3 linked regions of the Stegostoma tigrinum genome follow. The protein of the gene in region 3 interacts with the protein of the main gene of each other region in a pairwise test. Links are inferred from orthologs where the notes say so. Each region holds a gene or a part of one and is shown on either strand. Other genes may lie near its edges.

Evidence for each region.
Region 1: the proteins of YTH domain-containing family protein 1-like (region 3) and dhx30 interact in a two-hybrid assay, tested with the Homo sapiens proteins (2 studies listed by BioGRID, with this or other methods). The link is inferred for Stegostoma tigrinum from reciprocal best matches to the Homo sapiens genes YTHDF1 and DHX30.
Region 2: the proteins of YTH domain-containing family protein 1-like (region 3) and prrc2b interact in a two-hybrid assay, tested with the Homo sapiens proteins (2 studies listed by BioGRID, with this or other methods). The link is inferred for Stegostoma tigrinum from reciprocal best matches to the Homo sapiens genes YTHDF1 and PRRC2B.

Annotation. Positions count from the first base shown.
Region 1 is NC_081358.1:94,689,238-94,696,160, reverse strand, and holds the start of dhx30 (ATP-dependent RNA helicase DHX30), read right to left. Parts: upstream 3,066-6,923; 5' UTR 3,057-3,065; coding exon 2,792-3,056; intron 1,301-2,791; coding exon 1,173-1,300; intron 1-1,172.
Region 2 is NC_081382.1:40,890,901-40,898,571, forward strand, and holds the start of prrc2b (protein PRRC2B), read right to left. Parts: upstream 3,022-7,671; 5' UTR 2,877-3,021; intron 1-2,876.
Region 3 is NC_081372.1:29,717,858-29,724,950, reverse strand, and holds the start of YTH domain-containing family protein 1-like, read right to left. Parts: upstream 3,092-7,093; 5' UTR 2,880-3,091; coding exon 2,853-2,879; intron 2,638-2,852; coding exon 2,613-2,637; intron 1,991-2,612; coding exon 1,911-1,990; intron 1-1,910.

The sequences.
Region 1 (6,923 bases), on a different chromosome or scaffold from region 3:
GCTAGTCAGCAACAGTTATAACTTTTACTTTTGCAGAGTGGACAAACAGGACTGGTCAACTTGTCCTCAACTTCATTTCAAAGTACATAAACAATTGTCAGTATTGGTTAGAGGCTTCTATTAGAATGTTGTCCATTCACAGATGTTGGTGTGTTCTCCGAGCTGGGAAGTTTGATAGCAGACATTTTGTCCCCTTATTAGGTGACATTCTCAGTGCTGTGGAGCCTTCTTCACAAAAAGTCTGCTATCAAACCTCCCAAATCAGCGAACACATCTACAACCAGCACTCAAGCTGCAAATCTTCACTCAAACCCTGAACATTGTCCATTCAACCAGCATTATAATCTATCCAGCAATCTAAGGAAGGGGATGAAGAGAGGTGATGCACCAATAGTAGAGCACCCTGAAGAAATGAATACCACACCTATCATTCAATCCTCAGTTTGAAACCTGCCATCTGAGAATGATGAAAGAGTTCTCTTGGGAGAATGGAGAAACTAGATTCAATATTAATTTCTAAAGGAAAATGAACACATACTGGAAGAATACTTTTCAGGGTTATGGTGAAAAGAACAAGAGGTGGGATTAATTCAAAATTCTGCAAGAGTTGACTTGGGCACACTTCAAAGATTCCAACAGATTCTTTGTAGATCGTGTCGTGAAAGAATCAAGTCTGTCTTTCTCTCTTATGTTATTCAGTATCAGAATGTGGCCATCCCACTATCAAGGCAACATTCATTTGCCATCCCAAGCTACTTTGCTTGACCACTTCAAAGTTAAAAGGCAGGCCTGATGGTATTGAACTGCAATCATGCAAGGACTAAACCAGGTGAGGTCAGCAGGTTTTTTTTTGAAGAACATTAAGATGAACCAATTTTAGGGCACTCTGAAAGTTCCGTGGTCACTAATAGCTTTTCAATTCCAGAATTTGTTTAGACTGAATGAAAATTCTAAACCTGCCATAGTGGGATTTGAAATTTCTCTGGAATATTACTGAAGATTTGAAGTTTGCTAATCCAATACTTTCTTGCAGGTGATATGACTACACAACTGGGGGTGTGGAATCAGGGAGCCTACCGAACTGTCCTCTCCACACTGAAGTGTCAAGACCAAACTGGCCAACAGTAATTTAACCAAATTAGATTGAAAAATAAACATTGATAACCACTTACTTTAATGTATCCATCAAATGATTTGTAGACAATGCGATCATTTACATTAGAAGCCTTCAGAGCTCGCTGCATGACCTGAACCAGCAGGTTCTTAGGCTGTGGAAACTCTTGAAGAAGGGCCTGTAAGTCTAAACAAACATTTTCGGTGAATTCAGTATGCCAGCCATCATCACCGAGTTAATGCTTGGAAAACCAATTCTTTGTCTTTTCCCCACAAGATGTCAATTTTCTGCATTGGAGATCACTGGACACCATCATTCAAGGACGATTATGTAAAGTGTGATCACAGATTTTTTTTGTAGACTTCTTCCTTTCTTCGTCATTCCACTCCAATCACAAGACAATCAATTACAATTTGACAGATCACAGTGAAGATTAGTTGGCTCAGCACAGAATGGAGAACAAAGGAAATCAAACATATGTACACAACAGATTTTCAATTCTTGCTTCTATGCACCAAACATTCAGGTCAAGAATTTAATATGGTACACAATACGCACGTCAACTGCAGCCTACCTAGCAAATGTTGAAAGTTTTACATGCATTCCTTGCTTTTATTTTCAATGCCTCAACTTATTGGCTAAAGTGCTAAACTGAACTTGTCCTGCCAACTTCACAAATTTGTACACAAACACATCCATCTCTATTCCTCATTGGCTATATGCCCTTTCCTCATTTCTTTCTACCAAAACAGAACACAGAGCATAGATCAGTACATCGCTGTACAGGTCCTTCCGGCCACGATGTTACGCTGAACTTTTATCCTAAACTTAATATCTATCTAACCTCCACCCTCACCATATACTATCATCCATATGCCTATCTAATAGCCACTTAACTGTCCCTAATGAGACTGACTCCACTACCTGCTCTGGCAATGCATTTCACACCCCTATCACTCTCCAAGTAAAGAACCTACCTCTGAATCTCCCATATCTACCTCCACTCACTTTAAAATTATGCCCCTTCGTAATAGCTACCTCCACCCTAGCAAAACGCCTCTGGCTGTCTACTCTATCTAGACCTTTGATGATTTTATACACCTCTTATCAAGTCACCTCTCATCCTTCGTCGTTCTAAAGAGAAAAGCCCTAGCACTCTCAACCGTTCCTCGTTAAGACCTTCCCTCTATTTCAGGCAACATCTTAGTAAATCTCCTCTGCAGCTTTTTCAACGCCTTCACATCTTTCCTGTAATGAGGTGACCAGAACCGGACACAATACTCCAGATGTGGCCGAACCAGGGTGCTGTACGGCTGGAGCATAACTTCATGGCCTTTGAACTCGAGTCCTCTATTAATGAAAGCTAACACACCATACACCTTCTTAACAACTCTATCCAACTAGGTGGCAGATCTCAGAGAACTGTGGTCACGAACCCCCCAAAAATGAATCACTTTAATCTCTTTTTCAGCAAACTACTGAATTTAGTTGAATATTTGTGCGCAACTGCATTTTGTTTCTATATCCCAATACTTGATGGGTAGTTTTGAGTATTTATATTTTTGTCGTTGGTCTTTCAATACACTGTGTAAGTACTTTGTAACATGCGTGTGCTTATATACACAACAAATACTGCAAGGTTGAAGTGTGTCCCCCGGAGGAGTCAGTAGCCCGCACCTTGCTGACCGCTCGCTCCAGTTGGCAGCGGCGGCTCCGACATTCCCTCCTCTCCCCGCGGCGTGACCTGCTGCTGCCGCCGACTCGTCGTGTGCCTGAACCGGCTCATGGCCGCTGTCATCCATATGGGGCCGCACTCCCACTCCGAGTGCCAAGCCAGAGGCGCCGGCGGTCCCCGGGCTCCGGTGCTGGGCTGCCTTCGCGGGCACAACCTCCTCAACAAGAAACACAGCAGCCGCGACATCCCACCTGCGTACACCGCCATCTTGGAAACACGGGCTGGTTCCTCAGGCCGGCTCCAGAACTTCGCGGAGAGACCGGAACAATGCGCAAGATGGACCGTTTACAAAAAAAAGTCAGGAACTCCGACAATGAGCCCAGCGCTGCCTCTGGCGGCAGAATCGAGTACTAGGCGATGGTTAATGCGGTAGGATTGTGAGAGCTCTTGAAAGTTCTCTACTGCTCTTAATAGGGTGGTGTGCACTCTATTTGCTGCAGTAACAATTGTTCTGTCAATGGAAGGAGTGTCAGTCGAATAAGTAGTTTGAATCCTTCCATCACTTCAAAGTACAAAAGTAATTTTGCAGAATTCTTAGAGCACGGAAGGAAACCACTCGGTTCACTGTATCCGTGAGGTCTCACCCAGTGCAATCATCTTGCCTTCTCCCTGTAATCCTGTCCGTTGCTCCTTTTCAAGTTCCCTTTTTGGAACAAGCAAGAACAGACTTTGCAGACGCTTGATGCCTTTCTAAACTAAAAACCTTTTGCCTCTACACTGTCCGTATCCCTCTGTTCTCAGCCTATTCACTGTTTTCTGAAGAAGGGTCTGGACCCGAAACGTCAGCTCTCCTCTGATACTGCTTGGCCGGCTATGTTCATCCAGCTCTCCACCTTGATATCCCACATATTTGTCAAGATGCTTCTTAAACGTTGCTACTGTATCCGCCTCCACCACCTCCTGGAACAGCACATTCCAGTCACTTATCACCATCTGTGTCAACAAAAACCTGCCTCTATCATCTCCTTTAAGCTTATTGCCTGGTACCTTAAACCTGTGCTCCCTAATAATTGACATTCCTACCCTAGGAATAAAACTCTGACCAGTCTCTCCATGCCTCACATAATTTTGTAAACTTCCAAAAGGTTGCAACTCATCCTTCGACATTCAAGTGAAAACAAATCAAGTTTGTCCAATCTCTCCTTATAGCAAATATCCTCCAAAGCAGGCAACATCCTGGAAGATTGTTTCTGTATGCTTTGCAAAGCTTCCACATCCTTCCGTCATGTAGTGAACAGAACTGACCACAATATTCCAAATGTGCCCTAACAGATTGAGGAGTGACCTTTATAGAGGCTTGTAAATTAATTGGGAATAGATAAAATGAATAGTGAAGGTCTTTTTCCTAGCAGAGGGGACTTTTAAACTACAGAGCATAAATTTAAGTTGAGAGGAGGAAGATTTAAAATGGACCTGAGGAGCAACCTTTTCACACAGACAGTGGTTCGTATACATAACCTCGTGGCTCTTAACCTCAATTCCCCTGCCAACAAAAGTAAACACGCCATATGCCTTCATTATAACCCTACAATGGTGAAGGAGACAGAGGATCAGTCAGCCCAGTTCCCAAAGAACATGACCTCATTCTTGCCTTGATTTACCTTGACTCCCAAGGCCAGTTCAAACTGGTTGCAGATTTTCATGATTCTGTGCGCAGTGGACCCAAGCAGAAAACAATGATGTAATTCATGTACAGGGCAGTTTTGACCTGTAGGCCTCTGCTGCCTGGAAAATCACCCCTCTCGCACACTTCCTGATGGAATTGGCAAAAGCTTCTATACAGCGCACAAAGAAAGCAGGAGAGAGTGGACAGCCTTTCCAGACTCCAGGTCTGATCAGGAAGCTTTCTGATTCTCACCCATTGACTGAAACTACACTACAGAGCTTGGTGCAGACCAGTTGGATCCAATTTCATATTCGCTGTCCAAAACCTGTTTTAGGGAGCATGTCCCACATGTTGGTGTGTGATGTCCTGTCAAAGGCCTTCCCCTGGTCCAGGCTGATGAGGAAGGCACCCACTGCCCTTCTTTGCACATAGGTGATCATACTTATGAGGAGCACGTGACTCCCAGAGGTGGTCCTTCCTGGTACAGCACAGGTTTGATCAGGGTGAATCACCGAACCCAGAGCAGACTTGACCCAGTTGGCAATGACCTTAGACAGGATCTTGTAATCCATATTCAATGATTGGCAATTTCTAATTTCTTCCCTGTCCCCTGTCCACTTGTCGATGAGGGTGATGATACCTTTCCTCTTAAATTCACATATTCTCCCTGCCAGAATCATACTATTGTACATCTCCACTGGGTGCTGGCCTATCAAGTCCTTCAAGCTGAATACAACTTAGCTGGTAAGCCATCCCTTCTAGGAGTTTTACTTTTTTCGAAGGACTCAAGGGCCTTGGTTAGCTCTTGAACAGTTCTAGCAGATTGGGCTGTGGCAAATGTAACATTGCTGTTTAAAGAAAAAGGCTGTATGGAGAAAATTGTATTTGACAAACAACCTGGAATTTTTTGCAGACATTAGTCTCAGAATAGGTGAAGAAGAACCAGTGTGCTGGTGTACTGGATTTTCAGAAGGCTTTCGATAAAGTCCCAAGTATGAGTTTACTGTGCAAGATCAAAGCACATTAGTTTGGTTGTAATATACTTGCATGGATTAACAGTTGATTAGCAGACAGGAAACAAAATGTACTGGTCCTGTTTAATGCCACTCCCAACATCATCCTTACAGTTCAGGGGTTTATATCCAACCACCACTAATGATTTTGCCCTTTGGTGTTTCTCAGCTCTAATGACACAGATTCTGTATCATCGAGCTACTATGCTTCCTCACTATTGCATTAATTTTCTCTTTAACCAACAATGCAACATTACTGATTTTTCCTTTTCATCTATCCTTCCTCATTACTGAACACCTCTGGATATTCACTTCCCATTCCTTGTCACACTGCAGCCATGTCTCCATAATTCTGATTAAATCATACTTGTTTTTATTCATTTGCGTGATTGATTCATTCAATTTATTGTAAATGTTCCACACATTGAAACACAAAGCATTATAATTGGCCTTTTTTATTATTACTTGTCCCATTTCCATTATTTTTAAATATGCCCCTATTTGATTGTGGCCCATGATTTCTTGCCTATCACTTTTCTTATTCCCCATTCTGTTTGTTGTCCTTGTCCTTGATTCTCCCTCCTCTGATTCCTCGCTCATGCTATTTTAGTTTAAAGCCTCCCCAACAACTCTTGCAAATAGTCCCCCAAGGACATCAGTCCCGGTCCTTGTTTTATATATTCATGATATATTCTTATAAACTATTAAGGTCACTATTTATTGCTCATCTCAAATTGCCCTTGAGAAGGTAGTGGAAAACCTAAAAACCAAAAGAATTGTGGATGCTTTAATCAGAAACAAAAACAGAAGTTGCTGGAAGAGGATTTGGCATCCTCATGCATAAATCGCAAAACACTAGCATACAATGTCAGTGTGTAATAAGGATAGTAAATGGAATGTTGGTCTTTATTTTAAACGGAATGGAGGACAAAAATCGGGAAGTCTTGTTAAAACTACGTGTGACACTATTTCAATGACACTTATAATATTACGAATAGTTTTTGTTCCCCTTACCTAAGGAATGATATATTGGCTTTGGAGTCAGTCACTAGGTCAATTGCGGGTATCTATGGATTTTCTCATGAGAAGGGTTTGAGTAGGTTTGGCTTGTACTTAGGGCTTCGAAGAATGAGGGGTGACCCTAGTGAAACATTCAAGATTTTTAGACACATGACAGTTTAGATATGGAGAGTTATTTTCACTGTCTGAGACGGAAAGGGTATAGTGGATGTAATCTCTGAAGAAGGGGTCACCCAGTTAGGACACAGATAACGAAGAATTCCTTCGCTTCCTGAGAATCTGTAGAATTCTTTCCTACAGAAAGTTGTCAAGGCTAGTTTCTTAAGTATATTCAAAGCTGAGATATGCAAAAGTTAATCAAGAAGGGAAACAAGGAGTATGCAGTAAAGGCAGGAAAGTGGAGTTGAGAATTATCAGATCAGCCATGATCTTGTT
Region 2 (7,671 bases), on a different chromosome or scaffold from region 3:
CTGAGGAGGATGGTGTGAACTGATCAGGATAAAAGCCAGACATTATCAGAGACATAACAACAACTGAAAGGTTCAGGCTAAATTACTGCAGCTGCAAACAATACAGGATAACTTGCTGCCTTCCTAACCTACCACTAATACAGGGGAACAGAGACGGGGACACAAAATCTTTCATGACTGGCTATCAGTACAATTCTTAAATTCAGCATCACACACAACATGGACAAAACAGACGCAGGAATCTCACCCTCCCCACAACTCCACAAAATCCCAGAATCCAAACCAGAGGAGTGACCGCATCACAAGGGAACGTAGGGTTACCAGAGAGCACTCAGGGGCAGGTTCAGTATTCAAAAAGGGGTAGGATATGGAGGGGAGGGAGATATCCAGTGTCCAAACAGTGGGGAGGGGGGTACTGATGTCCTGCATTCAGGGGAGCTGCCCACACTTTTTTTTTGGCGGGGGGGATGGAAGTGGGTAGGTTGGTGGCTCCAGTAACCAGGGGATGTCCAGTGTCCAAAATGGCTGGTATATCCAATTTCCAGTGGTGTGGGTGTTGGGAACATACATAATTGAGATGAGAGGGGGTTTCGAATCTGTGAAGAGAAGGAATGTCATGGGGAGACAAGGGGGTACTGGGCAGCATTGGGGAGGGGGTGCAGCTGTGTCTGCGATGATATCCATTGGTGGTCGGGGTCCTGGGAAAGGGGATGAAGGGGATTGGGGAGTTAGGGGATGGAGGGTTTGGGGGATGGAGGATATTGGGGGGATCGGGGAGGGATGGGGGATATTGGGGGGATCGGGGATGGGGGATATTGGGGGGGGATCGGGGAGGGGGGATATTGGGGGGGGATCGGGGAGGGGGGATATTGGGGGGGATCGGGGAGGGGGGATATTGGGGGGGATCGGGGAGGGGGGGATATTGGGGGGGATCGGGGAGGGGGGGATATTGGGGGGGATCGGGGAGGGGGGGATATTGGGGGGGATCGGGGAAGGGGGGATATTGGGGGGGGATCGGGGAAGGGGGGATATTGGGGGGGGATCGGGGAAGGGGGGATATTGGGGGGGATCGGGGAAGGGGGGGATATTGGGGGGGGTGGGGGAGGGGGGGGATATTGGGGGGGGTGGGGGAGGGGGGGGATCGGGGAGGGGGGGATCGGGGAAGGGGGGATATTGGGGGGGGTGGGGGAGGGGGGGGTGGGGGAGGGGGGGATCGGGGAGGGGGGGATCGGGGAGGGGGGGATCGGGGAGGGGGGGATCGGGGAGGGGGGGATATTGGGGAGGGGGGGATCGGGGAGGGGGGGATCGGGGAGGGGGGATCGGGGAGGGGGGATCGGGGAGGGGGGGATCGGGGAGGGGGGGATCGGGGAGGGGGGGATCGGGGAGGGGGGGGATCGAGGGGGGGGATCGAGGGAGGGGATCGAGGGAGGGGATCGAGGGGGGGATCGGGGGGATCGAGGGGGGGATCGGGGGGATCGAGGGGGGGAGGGGGGATCGAGGGGGGGATCGAGGGGGGGAGGGGGGATCGAGGGGGGGAGGGGGGATCGAGGGGGGGAGGGGGGATCGAGGGGGGGGAGGGGGGATCGAGGGGGGGATCGGGGGAGGAGGGGGGGATCGGGGGAGGAGGGGGGGATCGGGGGAGGAGGGGGGGATCGAGGGGGGGAGGAGGGGGGATCGAGGGGGGGATCGAGGGGGGGAGGGGGGGATCGAGGGGGGGAGGGGGGATCGAGGGGGGGAGGGGGGGATCGAGGGGGGGAGGGGGGGATCGAGGGGGGGATCGGGGGATCGAGGGGGGGAGGGGGGGATCGAGGGGGGGAGGGGGGATCGAGGGGGGGAGGGGGGGATCGAGGGGGGATCGAGGGGGGGAGGGGGGATCGAGGGGGGGAGGGGGGATCGAGGGGGGGAGGGGGTGATCGAGGGGGGGGAGGGGGGGATCGAGGGGGGAGGGGGGATCGAGGGGGGGAGGGGGGATCGAGGGGGGGAGGGGGGATCGAGGGGGGATCGAGGGGGGGAGGGGGGATCGAGGGGGGGAGGGGGGATCGAGGTGGGGAGGGGGGATCGACGGGGGGGATCGAGGGGGGAGGGGGAAATCGAGGAGGGGGGATCGAGGAGGGGGGGTAGGGGGATCGAGGAGGGGGGGTAGGGGGATCGAGGAGGGGGGGTAGGGGGATCGAGGAGGGGGGGTAGGGGGATCGAGGAGGGGGGGTGGGGGGGGATCGAGGAGGGGGGGTGGGGGGGGTCGAGGAGGGGGGGTGGGGGGGATCGAGGAGGGGGGGGTGGGGGGGGATCGAGGAGGGGGGGTGGGGGGGGATCGAGGAGGGGGGGTGGGGACGGTAGGGGAGGGGGAGGGGTGGAGGAGGGGGTAGGGGTGGAGGGGTAGGGGTGGAGGGGTAGGGGTGGGGGGTAGGGGTGGGGGGTAGGGGTGGGGGGGTAGGGGTGGGGGGGTGGGGGGTAGGGGAGGGGGGGTGGGGGAGGTGGGGAGGGTAGGGGAAGGTAGGTGAGGGGGGAGGGGTGGGGGGGGTAGGGGAGGAGGGTGGGGAGATCGAGGGGGTGGGGTTGGGGAGGGGGAGGGGGGGTATCGGGGGTCCCAGGGGGCTGAGGGTAACCCTGTGAGGGAGGGTAATCCGGGGGGGGGGGGGGTCGGGAGAGTTGGGATGGTGTGGTGTCCCGGGGGTGGGGTGGGGTGGAGGGGCAGGGTGCCCCGTAGGCGGCGGAGGGGGGGGGGGGGCAGTGGGTGGATATACGGAGAGGGGGATTTATTTTTCTCTCGCAGGGAGATCGGGGAGAAAATGGCGGCCGGATGCCACCGGGAACAAAGCAGCCGAAAGTCCCGGGATTTGAAACAAGAAAAGACTTTTCACAACAGAAATACCGACCTTGGCTCGTTCTCGGGGTTTAATCCGACACAATTCGCACAGCAAAAAGGAACTAACACCGATCCGCAGGCCGATGGAGACGGATAGGAAAGAATCCTGGGCCTACGCGAAAGGATTAAACTGAAAACCGACTCCGGCCTCTCAAACCGGCCGCAGTGATTGAGGCGCAGCGCCGGCGCCCCACCTGGCGGCCGGAGGCGGGACTGCAGTTACAGCGCCGGCGTTCCACCTGGCGGTCGGAGACAGCACTACAGTCGCTGCGCTGGCGCCCCACCTGGCTGCCGGACATGGTACTGCAGAGGCTGCGCCGTTTCTCCACCTGAGGTGACACAGCAACAACTGCGCTGGCGCTCCACCTGGTGGCATGAGGTAGAGCTTCAGGAACTCAGACAAGGTCCTTATCACTGATAATGGGAACTGCAGATGCTGGAGAATCCAAGATAATAAAATGTGAGGCTGGATGAACACAGCAGGCCCAGCAGCATCTCAGGAGCACAAAAGCTGACTTTTCGGGCCTCGATCCTTCATCAGAAAAGGGGGATGGAGAGAGGGTTCTGAATTAAATAGGGAGAGTGGGGGAGGCGGACCGAAGATGGAGAGAAAAGAAGATAGGTGAGATGCTGCTTGGCCTGCTGTATTCATCCAGCTTCACACTTTGTTATCTAAGGTCCTTATCACTGTTACAAGTGTGGAGAAGACAATGCAAAAGTTTATGGGAGAGCACAAAAGTTGGCAGCGTTGTAAATTGTGAAAAGAACAAGTTGCTGCAGTGCATGATTAGGTGGGAGTTGAAAGTTGGAGAAGTGTGAAATGATGCATTTTGGCACAAAGAAAATTCTTAAAGGAGGTGCAGGAGCAGAGAATCTATGTCAATAAAGGTGTCAGGTTGGAGATATGAGTTAATAACAAAACAGACAAGCTACAATTATGTAGAGTATAACAACAAGGAGGCCACGCTGAATTTAGAACAAAACACCGGTCAGCCCTCAGCTGGAATACTGGTTACAGTTCTGGGCATTACATTAAAAGAAGCATTATGGGGAGCGATGGTGGTATTTTCACTGGATAGTTAATCCAGAGACCCAGGAAATGCTCTGGGGACCCGGGTTCGAATCCTGCCACAGCAGATTAGATTTCAAAAGATGTCTGAAATTAAGGACTAAGTAAAAACCGAAAAAACTATGGATGATGCAAATCAGAACCAAAAACAGAAATTGCTGGAAAAGCTCAGTGGGTCTGGAGGAAGGGTCACCATCTCCTCACAGAGGAGATCTGGCAGCATCTGTGAGGAGATGGTGACCCTTCCTCCAGACCCACTGAGCTTTTCCAGCAATTTCTGTTTTTGGTTCTGGAGTTAAGGGCTTGAAAATAATGACCATGAATTCATTGCCGATTGTTGGAAGAACACATCAGGCTCACTAATGTCCTTTAGGGAAAGAAATCAGCGGTCCTTACGCTGGCCTACATGTGACTCCAGACCCACAGCAATGTGGTTGGCTCTTGACTGCCCTCTGGGTGATTAGGGATGGGGCAATAAATGCTGCCCTGGCCAGTGACACCCTCATTCTGTGAATGAATTTTGTTCAAAGAGAATGCATTGGAGTGAGGATTAGAAGGGGGTTTATGGAAATGATTCCAGGGATGAGGAAAGATTGGAGATTTTCCTCGGAGAGGAGAAAGCTAAGAGGAGATTTAATAGAACTTTGCAAAATTGTGAATGGTCTGGACAGAGGGGATAGGTACGAGCTGGTCCCCCTCATAAACAGGTCGAGAACCAGACACCATGGATTACAGAGGTTCTGCACAAGAAGTAAATGTGAAATCAGAAAAGCTCTTTTACTCAGTAAGAGTGAAATTAAAACAGTGCACTGGCAATGCAACGCAGGCAGAATCTGCGAACAGAGAAACAAAGTTAATGTTTCAAGCCCCACTATGACTGTTCAGAACTGAAGGAAGCTAGAATTGTAATGAGTTAATTTTAACACTGTTGAGAAAAGGGGGATAGGTCAGCTTGAGTTAGGAGAAAAGGGATATCTTAGAGGGCAGGAAAGGCTAAAAGACATCAAAACGCAAAGGGAGTGGTAATTATTGCAGTGAAGAAATAATGCATTTGTCCACATTAAGTACAAATGGCAACAGTCCAAAGGTGAGCAGGCTAGGTGGATAGTCCGTGGAAATGCAAGGTAACAGGAATGGGTGGGGTGGGATGCTTTCTGGAGGGTCAGTGTGGACTCACTGGGCAGAATGTTCTGCTTTTGCACTATAGGCCTTCTATGATTTGAAGTAGAGAGGTGATGGCCAAATGCTATTATCAGTAGACTATTAAAGTAGAGACCCTGGCAGGCAGATCTGAATCCCCCATGGTGGGATACAAGTTCAGTAAAAATGTGGAATTAGGGGGTTAATGACGACTATGAAACTGTTGATGGCTATCACCATTGTTGATTGTCAGAAAACCCCATCTTGTTCGCTAATGCCCCTTTAGGGAAGGAAGTCTGGCATTCTTATCTGGTCTGGGCTTACACGTGACTCCAGACCCACAGCAGTGTGGATGGCTCTTCATAATTAGGGTTAGGCATAAATGCTGGCCCCGTTAACACCGTACATCCCAGGATTGAACCAAAGAAAGTAGTTTGGGCCCGGAATTAGACCCCATTTAGAATACTGTGTCCAATTTTGGGCCCCACACCTCAGGAAGGACGTACTAGCCCTGGAGCGTGTCCAGCAGAGATTCACACGGATGGTCCCTGGAATGGTAGGTTTAACGTATGATGAACGGCTAAGGATCCTGGGATTGTACTCATTAGAGTTTAGAAGGTTAAGGGGAGATCTAATAGAAACTTACAAGATAATGTATGGTTTAGAAGGTTGAGGGGAGATCTAATAGAAACTTACAAGATAATGTATGGTTTAGAAGGGAAGGACGCTGGGAAGTTGTTTCCATTAGGCGGGGAGACTAGGACCCATGGGCACAGCCTTAAAATTAGAGAGGGTAAATTTAAAAATGAAATGAGACGACATTTCTTCAGCCAGAGAGTGGTGGGCCTGTGGAATTCATTGCCGCAGAGTGCAGTGGAGGAAAGGACGTTGGATGTCTTCAAGGCAGAGATTGATAAATTCTTGACCTCGCAGGGAATTAAGGGCTACGGGGAGAGTGTAGGGAAGTGGAGTTGAAATGCCCGTCAGCCATGATTAAATGGCAGAGTGGATTCGATGGGCTGAATGGCCTTACTTCCACTCCTATGTCTTATGGTCTTATGGAATGCACTGCCTGAAAATGTGATGGAGACAGGTTCTTTTGAGGTATTCAAGAGGGGCATTGGATTGTTATTTCCATAGAAACATCAAGGGGAAAGCAGGAGACTGGGCCTAGGTCCTGGTGCTCAGAGAGCCAGTGCAGGTATGATGGACCGTAACAAACCTCTGATTATCGACATTCCCAATGCTTTAAACATCCCTGCTCATCCATCGAATCCCCAAATTGCATTAAACGGAAATATGTTTATATTGTCTGGTTTACAATCAGATTTACAAATAGAATTTGCTCCTGGTTCAGGCGAGAAAGCCCTTTTTCCAAAAAAAATGTCAGAAGCAAGTTTTTCAGTTCCATTTGAAGGACACCAGCAATACGTCTGGAAGCTTGTTTTAGTTTTGCTCCTGAAAGGATAGTTCACAGAACATGTAATCTTGATGGAAGAGTTTGGATTGTGAACCATCCAAGCTAAGAGCATTTGTTCAGAAATCTACTGGTTCTCAGAACTGAGACAGTTTTGGCTGTAGATGTGTGAAAAGTTGATGTCTGGAAATGACTCATTAAATTGTCCTCACAGCCCCATAGCAAAGAAGCAGTCAGAAGTCAGTTATGTAGAACCCTACAGAGTTGAAATAGGGATACAATTTCCTTGGAGTGAATCTCTGTAACAAACACTGTGAGGAAACAAGATAATAAAATGTGAGGCTGGATGAACACAGCAGGCCAAGCAGCATCTCAGGAGCACAAAAGCTGACGTTTCGGGCCTAGACCCTTCATCAGAGAGGGGGATGGGGGGAGGGAACTGGAATAAATAGGGAGAGAGGGGGAGGCGGACCGAAGATGGAGAGTGAAGAAGATAGGTGGAGAGAGTGTAGGTGGGGAGGTAGGGAGGGGATAGGTCAGTCCAGGGAAGACGGACAGGTCAAGGAGGTGGGATGAGGTTAGTAGGTAGCGGGGGGTGCGGCTTGGGGTGGGAGGAAGGGATGGGTGAGAGGAAGAACCGGTTCTTCCTCTCACCCATCCCTTCCTCCCACCCCAAGCCGCACCCCCCGCTACCTACTAACCTCATCCCACCTCCTTGACCTGTCCGTCTTCCCTGGACTGACCTATCCCCTCCCTACCTCCCCACCTACACTCTCTCCACCTATCTTCTTCACTCTCCATCTTCGGTCCGCCTCCCCCTCTCTCCCTATTTATTCCAGTTCCCTCCCCCCATCCCCCTCTCTGATGAAGGGTCTAGGCCCGAAACGTCAGCTTTTGTGCTCCTGAGATGCTGCTTGGCCTGCTGTGTTCATCCAGCCTCACATTTTATTATCTTGGAATCTCCAGCATCTGCAGTCCCCATTATCACTGTGAGGAAACAGTTTGAAGCTGTTTTAACATGGTGTAGAGCTGGATGATCACAGAGGAGCAGGAAGAAGGGTCTGGGTCAGCCTTCCTGCTCCTAAGATGCTGCTTGGCCTGCTGTGTCCATCCAGCTCCACACCTTGTTATCTCAGATTCTCCAGCCTCTGCAGTTTCTACTATCTCAGAAACTGTGTT
Region 3 (7,093 bases):
TTTCCTTCCCGTCATTTATTACCTATCAAAAAAAATGACTTCAGTGCTGATTGCTGTTTTGAATAAAAATCACCTTACTAACCTGTGTTCAGTAAAGTTGATGACTTGTGTATCAGCACCAAAATATTTCAACTTCACCTGTCTATTTTCCAACAAGTCTATGACATCCTTGGGCTTTACAGCAAATGCACTAGGTTTTTTTGTTTGAGTTATAGTTTATAGTAAAATTTTCATTCAGAATTAAACTGTTCAAGAGCCTCAAGTCTATTTTGCCCTAATATTCAGCAGTTTAGCACATGCTTAAATAATTTTAAACAACCGTGGATTTTTGAGAGATGTAGGTTAAACAAACATTTGTTTAAATACCTTACCACTTTTAGTTAACTTTACAACATTAGGAAAAAGCAACATGAAACACTGCTTAGAACATTTGATTTAAGTAACAAGTATTTTAGACATAGCCAACTTAGGTTTGAATATTCAAAGTGTATTTCCTAAAATAATCACAAAAATTAAATGTAAACTTAATTCAAACAAACAGTCATATTAAAAATAACAGATTTATTGCTGACAGCAGTTCCTCCAATGGCATAGAAAATCAGAGAGAAGCTGTCATATCAAGCAGAAAAATCCCAATTTGATACTTAATCTAGGCTGAGCTATCTGATCAGTGACAATACAAAAGCAAGAAATAGACCTCAGTGCATCTGGGATAGGAAGTGGGGAGAGAAAAATCAAGGCTCACAAATCTAATCTCTGAACTTTCAATTACTAGCAACGTACGTTGCAATGAGGACAGGACTGAGACAGGCCGAGATTCCCCTGCATCAGATAACTTGCCAAAATCTTAGACAAGCTCAAATACAAATTCTTGTTACTTAAATAAAAAGCAAATAGGAGAAAACAACAACAGACAGTGAGCAAAAACTTTTTTTTGGTGCTCAGACACATGTTTTCCTATTCAATTAAAGGATACAACTTGAGATTTTTTTTATTCCGTACCCTTGAACTAATACGGCAATGTATACTATCTCTGAAACTAATAACTGAAATTTGATAGTGTGCTCAAGTCTACATATAACCAAAAGGCTAACTTGGGATTGTCAAATTTTGCCCACACCTTGCAATTAATGCAATATTGAGATTGACAGCAACAGCACACTTGTACACAGCAAGTCCCTTCATTGGGCAGAAAATTCTTTTGCAACTACATCTGGTGCAGAGATCAGCAACTTTCAATGATTCACAAGCAAAAGCAAGTGTCAAACCAGTTTTGTTTTCATTCAAGCTTATGTTCATATATAACATGATCAATGATAGTATGTTATGAATCAAACTAGATAAACGAAAGAAAAAATTATTTCAAGGAGTGATCCACCTTTCAGACATTAAACACGCATTTACTTAAACAAAATATTTGGCAGAAAATGCTCCCAACATAAAATCCAGGGAATTGATTCCACAAAGTTGATTAAATTGCCCCACAAAACATACAACTGATTGTATAAAGTCCTTTAAAATGAAAGGCTGTGGGCATAATGTCATGAAGAGAGATACAATAATTGTTACAAAATCAAGATTTTGAAGCTGGTGTGCTTGTGTAATTTAACCTGTGCCATCAATATTAACATCACACATTCCCAAGCACCTAAAAACATTTATCCTACCAAAGTAACTACTTCACATTTCTTTCTAAGCCTGCTGCTACAAAATCCATAAAACGGCACAAGTTCTCTAGCTTGAATGCCCTTTTACAATGTACAATATGTATATTATATGCAATTTGCCAACTTATCATTCAAGCATCCAAAGAATGAAAAGTTAATACTTATGGTTTTCCAACTAACTAGCAGGTTTGCCGGATTATGCTGAGCTAGAGGATCTTAAGATAAAATAGGTATTTAACTCACCTGATTGGACTGGCTGCTTAAGTATGGCTCAAAATCATTGTCGTGCACTGTATCCTTTTGATGCAATGAACCATTTTGCACTGTAATGTAAAACATTCTTGTAAATATCCATACAAGTCAAGTCCTACAAATATTCAAAAGTTGTAATAAAACTGTGGCAAAAACAAAGAAAATTATACACGTATATAGAGAATCAAGATCTGAAAACGGAAAACAAGAGTAGTAAATATCGAACGGCAGACGCATTTCTAACATTTTCTGTTTCCAAAAGTTGCATTTTGTTAAATTTCAGATGACTGTACTCTTGTTAAACAGGGAAAGAAAGAAACTTGTGTTTATACAAACGAATAACAATAAACTCTCTTCACAATTGCTTTTCTGGACAAAAGGAGGGACGTTCAAAGGAGAAACATCTGACGTTTCCTTAGTACAAGTCATCATAAAGCGGGAGGAGGCCGATCCCACGACGAGAGGGGAAACTTGGCCTTAACTCCCAACTTTTATCGGGCATTTACGCCACATTTAGTCCTTATGTTGCCGCCGACCCCAAATCACCGAGGCATAGCCAGGACGGGGAAAGGGAAGGATAGGCGATACCTCCCGAGTGGGACGCAGCAGATAAAATAAAAGCCATTCATGGCAACTTTCCACGTTATTTAAGGCATCTGCAGCAGCCCCGGGGCCTCCAGGCCAGCACTTTACCTTTATTCTCTTGTCCTTTCGCTCTCTGATTAGGGGCCACCACCGGACGGACATAGCAACACACGGGAAGCAAATTAAATAAAAGAGAAAGAAGTGTTAAGGCACCTCGGTAAATAGTAGAACGAAGCCCGCGGCTCAGCCCCCCCTCCCCCCAGTGAAGCAGCGAGAGGAGGAGTGTGTGTTGGGGGGGGGGGGGGGTAGAACACAACAAAGACCCAGCCGCTTCCGAGCCCTACCTACCTGAGGGTCAACGCTTGTCGCAGACATTCTTCATTAATCGCCACTTGCACCAGGCTCGGATTCCGAAAGGGGCTCTCGGAGTGCGGGGTGTCGGGGGCGGGCTAAGTAGCTTAAAGGCCGCAGTTTCTACCCACCCACCCCCCTCTTCAACTTAGCTTCCTCGCTCGGCTTTCTCAGGCGTTTAACCCAATGGCGACCATACTCTGATCCGATGACGTAGTACGCATTCGGCGCAGTGACGTCGCCGGGTCCGCTCCAAATGATGACGGATGCGCGCGCACCCTCCTCCTCCTGAGTCCGGGGTGGTGAAATGTTCGGTAATCTGGTAGAGTTATCTCTCTGCCCTGTTTAGCTAGCGCCTTAGTCTCGAGTACTGCCGCATTGAAAATGGTCGCCAGAGTATTTAGCCACACGAAGTTCTGCCTCTGTTTTGATTGTGAGTTATGTGTAAAGTGGATGCTAAGATTTTAACCAGGATCGTCGGGTTGGGGAGGACCAGGAAAGGCGGATGCTGCTCTAACCCGCGGACGTTTCGCTACTTAATGTTTATTTCATTGCTGTGCGAAACTCTGAGCACGATTTCAGACTGCTGCAAATAGGTGCAACTTGAGACCGACTGGAGTTTTTTTTTTCTTGAGTCGAAATTCGTGGGATGACCGTAGCTCGACACTTCTGACCACGGCCTAATACTCGGCCTCCTCGTTTTGGAACACCTGTTCCTCGCAGCCTGTAGTGTCTTTACGCCCTCTGGTTTACGTGTTCGGAGTAATAATAGACCGGCACATCTGTTGATCATTTGTAAACTGCTTGAGTTATTTCTATGCCTTGTGTTTCCATTCCGCAACAAGTGATTAAGGGTCATCTCAGAATTTATTTTATAATTGTGCTGTTGAGCAGACAGACTTAGTATGTTTGCATTTATGTAGTACATTTAAATATCCTCAAGATATAGCAAAGTGCTTCGTTGTTAGTGAGCTGCTTTTGAACTGTGGTTTTATTCGTACCGCAAGGACGAATAGCGTCTAGTTTATGTACAAGGTCCTACAAGAAACAATGAAATGAATAATTTTATAAACGTTGTTAAGAATGCGAGATAAACCTCCTTGCCCTTGTAAAGTAATGCCATTATACTTTTCATATCGAGCTGAAAGGGCAAAATGAGTCTCAGTCTGACAATTTATTTGAAGGTAGTACTTCCTGCAACAACACTGCATTCCCTCTATTACAATGCAAGGGAACTGAAGTGGAACTCTAATCAATATGTCTGACTTGGGCAAGAATTTAGGAAGAGAACAAGTCATCTTTTTTATTGAAAACAAAGCTGTCAAAACTACGATAACAAATCATTCTTTTGTAGATGACCTTTTAATGTGCAATATTTGTATTACTTACTGAATACTGGACTGTTAGTGTACCTCATCTCCTGTGGCAATTTCACTTTGCTCAATGCAACTCTGCTAAAAAGATTCTCCTCTGTTCATCTTTTCTGATTGCAAAGATTTATTAGGATTTCATAAAACCTCCCTCAAAAAAGAAATAAGCTGTTGTAAACCAATTCATTGCAAACCCTGAAAATCTAAAATTAAAAATACCAGAAAAGCTAAGCAAATCTGACAACATCTGTGGAGAAAACAACAGAGCTACGTTTTTGAGTTGGTGAACTTTGTTCTGATGAAATGTTATCTATTAATCTGAATTAATAACTTCTTCCATCTCTAGAGACTGGCTGAGCATTTCCAGCATGTTTTTTTAATATCTCTAGTTAACCTAATTATCAGCCTCTATCTGAGATAATAAAGTGTAAAACTGGATGAACACAGCAGGCCAAGCAGCATCTCAGGAGCTCCTGAGATGCTGCTTGGCCTGCTGTGTTCGTCCAGCTTTACAGTTTATTATCTCGGATTCTCCAGAATCTGCAGTTCCCATTATCTCTGATACAATTTCAGCCTCTATCCAAACTGTGTTAATCTCCCATTCAAACCTGTTTGCTGAAATTCAAATGTGAAATAAAGCTAGACTGGGTCATTGCTGAAGGTGCCTTTTTAAACTCTTTGGAATATCTTTGTTTAAATGAAAGGCACAGCTATGGGATCAAAACAAGTAAGAATTGTTTCATTCTTGTCCCTTAAATTTCTAACAAGTTAAATCTCTAGAATGCTCCTTAACAGCCAAGTTGATCATGAGTGCAACTCCAGTTACAGTCATTTATATTGCAATATTTTCATAGCCTAATCAAAAACATGCAAAGAACAAGTAATAAAATAGATCGTAAAATTAAAGGAAATCAAAGATTTAGATATTAGTTTCCACTTTCCTGATCTTTGTTTACATACGTCCACCTTGCCCATCTCACTTTCCATCATCAGTCAAAGACCCTTCAGCCATTTAATGTTCTAAAGAATAGTTGAGTCTTAGAATATAGACAGTAGAGTTTGGATTGGCTAACATTTATCAAGAGCGGAAGATGAGAAACTGGCCAAGAGTATGTTAGAATGGTCAAGTCTAAAGGAGATAAAGGCATGGGATGGTGATTTCAACTGCATTACAATTGAAACAGTGTTGGAGTTCACAGTATTACGGAGTTGGCTTTTGTGGTGGAGCATTTATGTGGTTGAATTGACTGTTTTTGAAAATTTCAAACTGTTCAGTTCGGCCTCAAACCATTGGCAGGAAGAAAGAATCCCTGAGTACAGACTTGAGTTTTGCTAAATAGAGTGACATGTTACCAAAGCTTTTTGTATTGCACTCATCAGGGCAAACAGCACAAATTTCAAACTGTTGCAGTATACAGTACAAGAGAAAAAGCTACAAATTGACCTGATTAGTCAAGGTGTCACCAAGTAGGAAGGAATGGAGAACTGCAGGATCTCCAAACCCCTTGATAATTTAAATTGAATTTGTGGTAGGGCCCAAAGGCAGTTTTTCCAATATTTGCAACAGTGGAGAGGTAATAAATTGTTGTATTGTCGATGGACTACTAATCCGGCGACTCAGATAATGACCTGAAGACCTAGTTTGGAGTTCCAACATGGCAAATTAATTTGAATTCAAAAACAAAATCTGAGCAAAATGCCTAATGACGGCTATAAAAACCCATCAGGTTCACTAATGCCCCATACCTCATCTGGTCTACATGTGACTTCAGACCTAAAGCAATGTGGTTTCCTCTTAATATCTCTGAAATGGCCTAGTAAACTTCTCAGTTGTATTCAACTACTCCAAACTCTTTTTTAAAAAAATGACTGTGGACCGACTGCCTGGTATTGATCTAGACGTTAGAAATGACAATGGGAAATTCAGCCTTCTGACCCTGCAAAGTGTCTTTAATAGCAGCTGAGGACTAGTGTCAAAATTAGAAGAGCTCTATCTCAGATAACTCAAGCAAAGCTTGATATAGTCATTCGCACAGAATCATACTTTGCAGACAATATGGCAGTCAATGCCATCACTTCATGGCTATATCCTGTTCCTGCAAGACATTCTAGCAGAGGTAGCAGGAGAGTGGTATAGAGTTGAAGGAAGTTTCCCTGGGTGCCTGCAATATTTATTCTGAACCCCAGGGAGATTCTTAGTATCAGGTCAGACGTGGAAAAGGACACCACTTAGTGATGACCATGCACTCTTTCCCCTGAAGAATTGGTGCTTCTCCATGTTGAGTGTCACTTGGAGAAGGCAATGAGAGTAGAAAGGGTGCAGAATGTACTCTCGGTGGGAAACATCAATGTTCATCGCCAAAAGTGGCTTGGCAGCACCACATCTGCCTGAACTGGTCAAGTCCCAAAGGACAGTGCCATCTGACCTAATCTGGTTCAAGGTGGTGAAGGGACCAAAAAGTGGTAAAAAACATACTTGATGTCATCTTCACCATTTTTTCATTAATGGAATGAGGACATTGCTGGCTGGGCAGCATTTATTTCTCATCCTGAATCACCAAGGGGGCAATTTAGAGTCAACTTCATTGCTGTGGGTCTGGAGTCACATGTAGGCCAGACCAGGTAAGGGTGTTCCCTTTCCTAAAGGACATTAGTGAACCAGGTGGGTTTTCCCCCTGACAATCAGCAATGGATTCATGGTCATTAGACTCTTAATTCCAGATATTTTCTTGAACTCAAATTCCACCATCTGCCATAGTGGGATTCAAACCTAGGTCCCCAGATCAACTGTCCAGCAATAATACCACTAGGCCATTGCCTCCCCTTCATGATGCAAATCCGTTGGTCCAAGACAGTATTGGACAACAT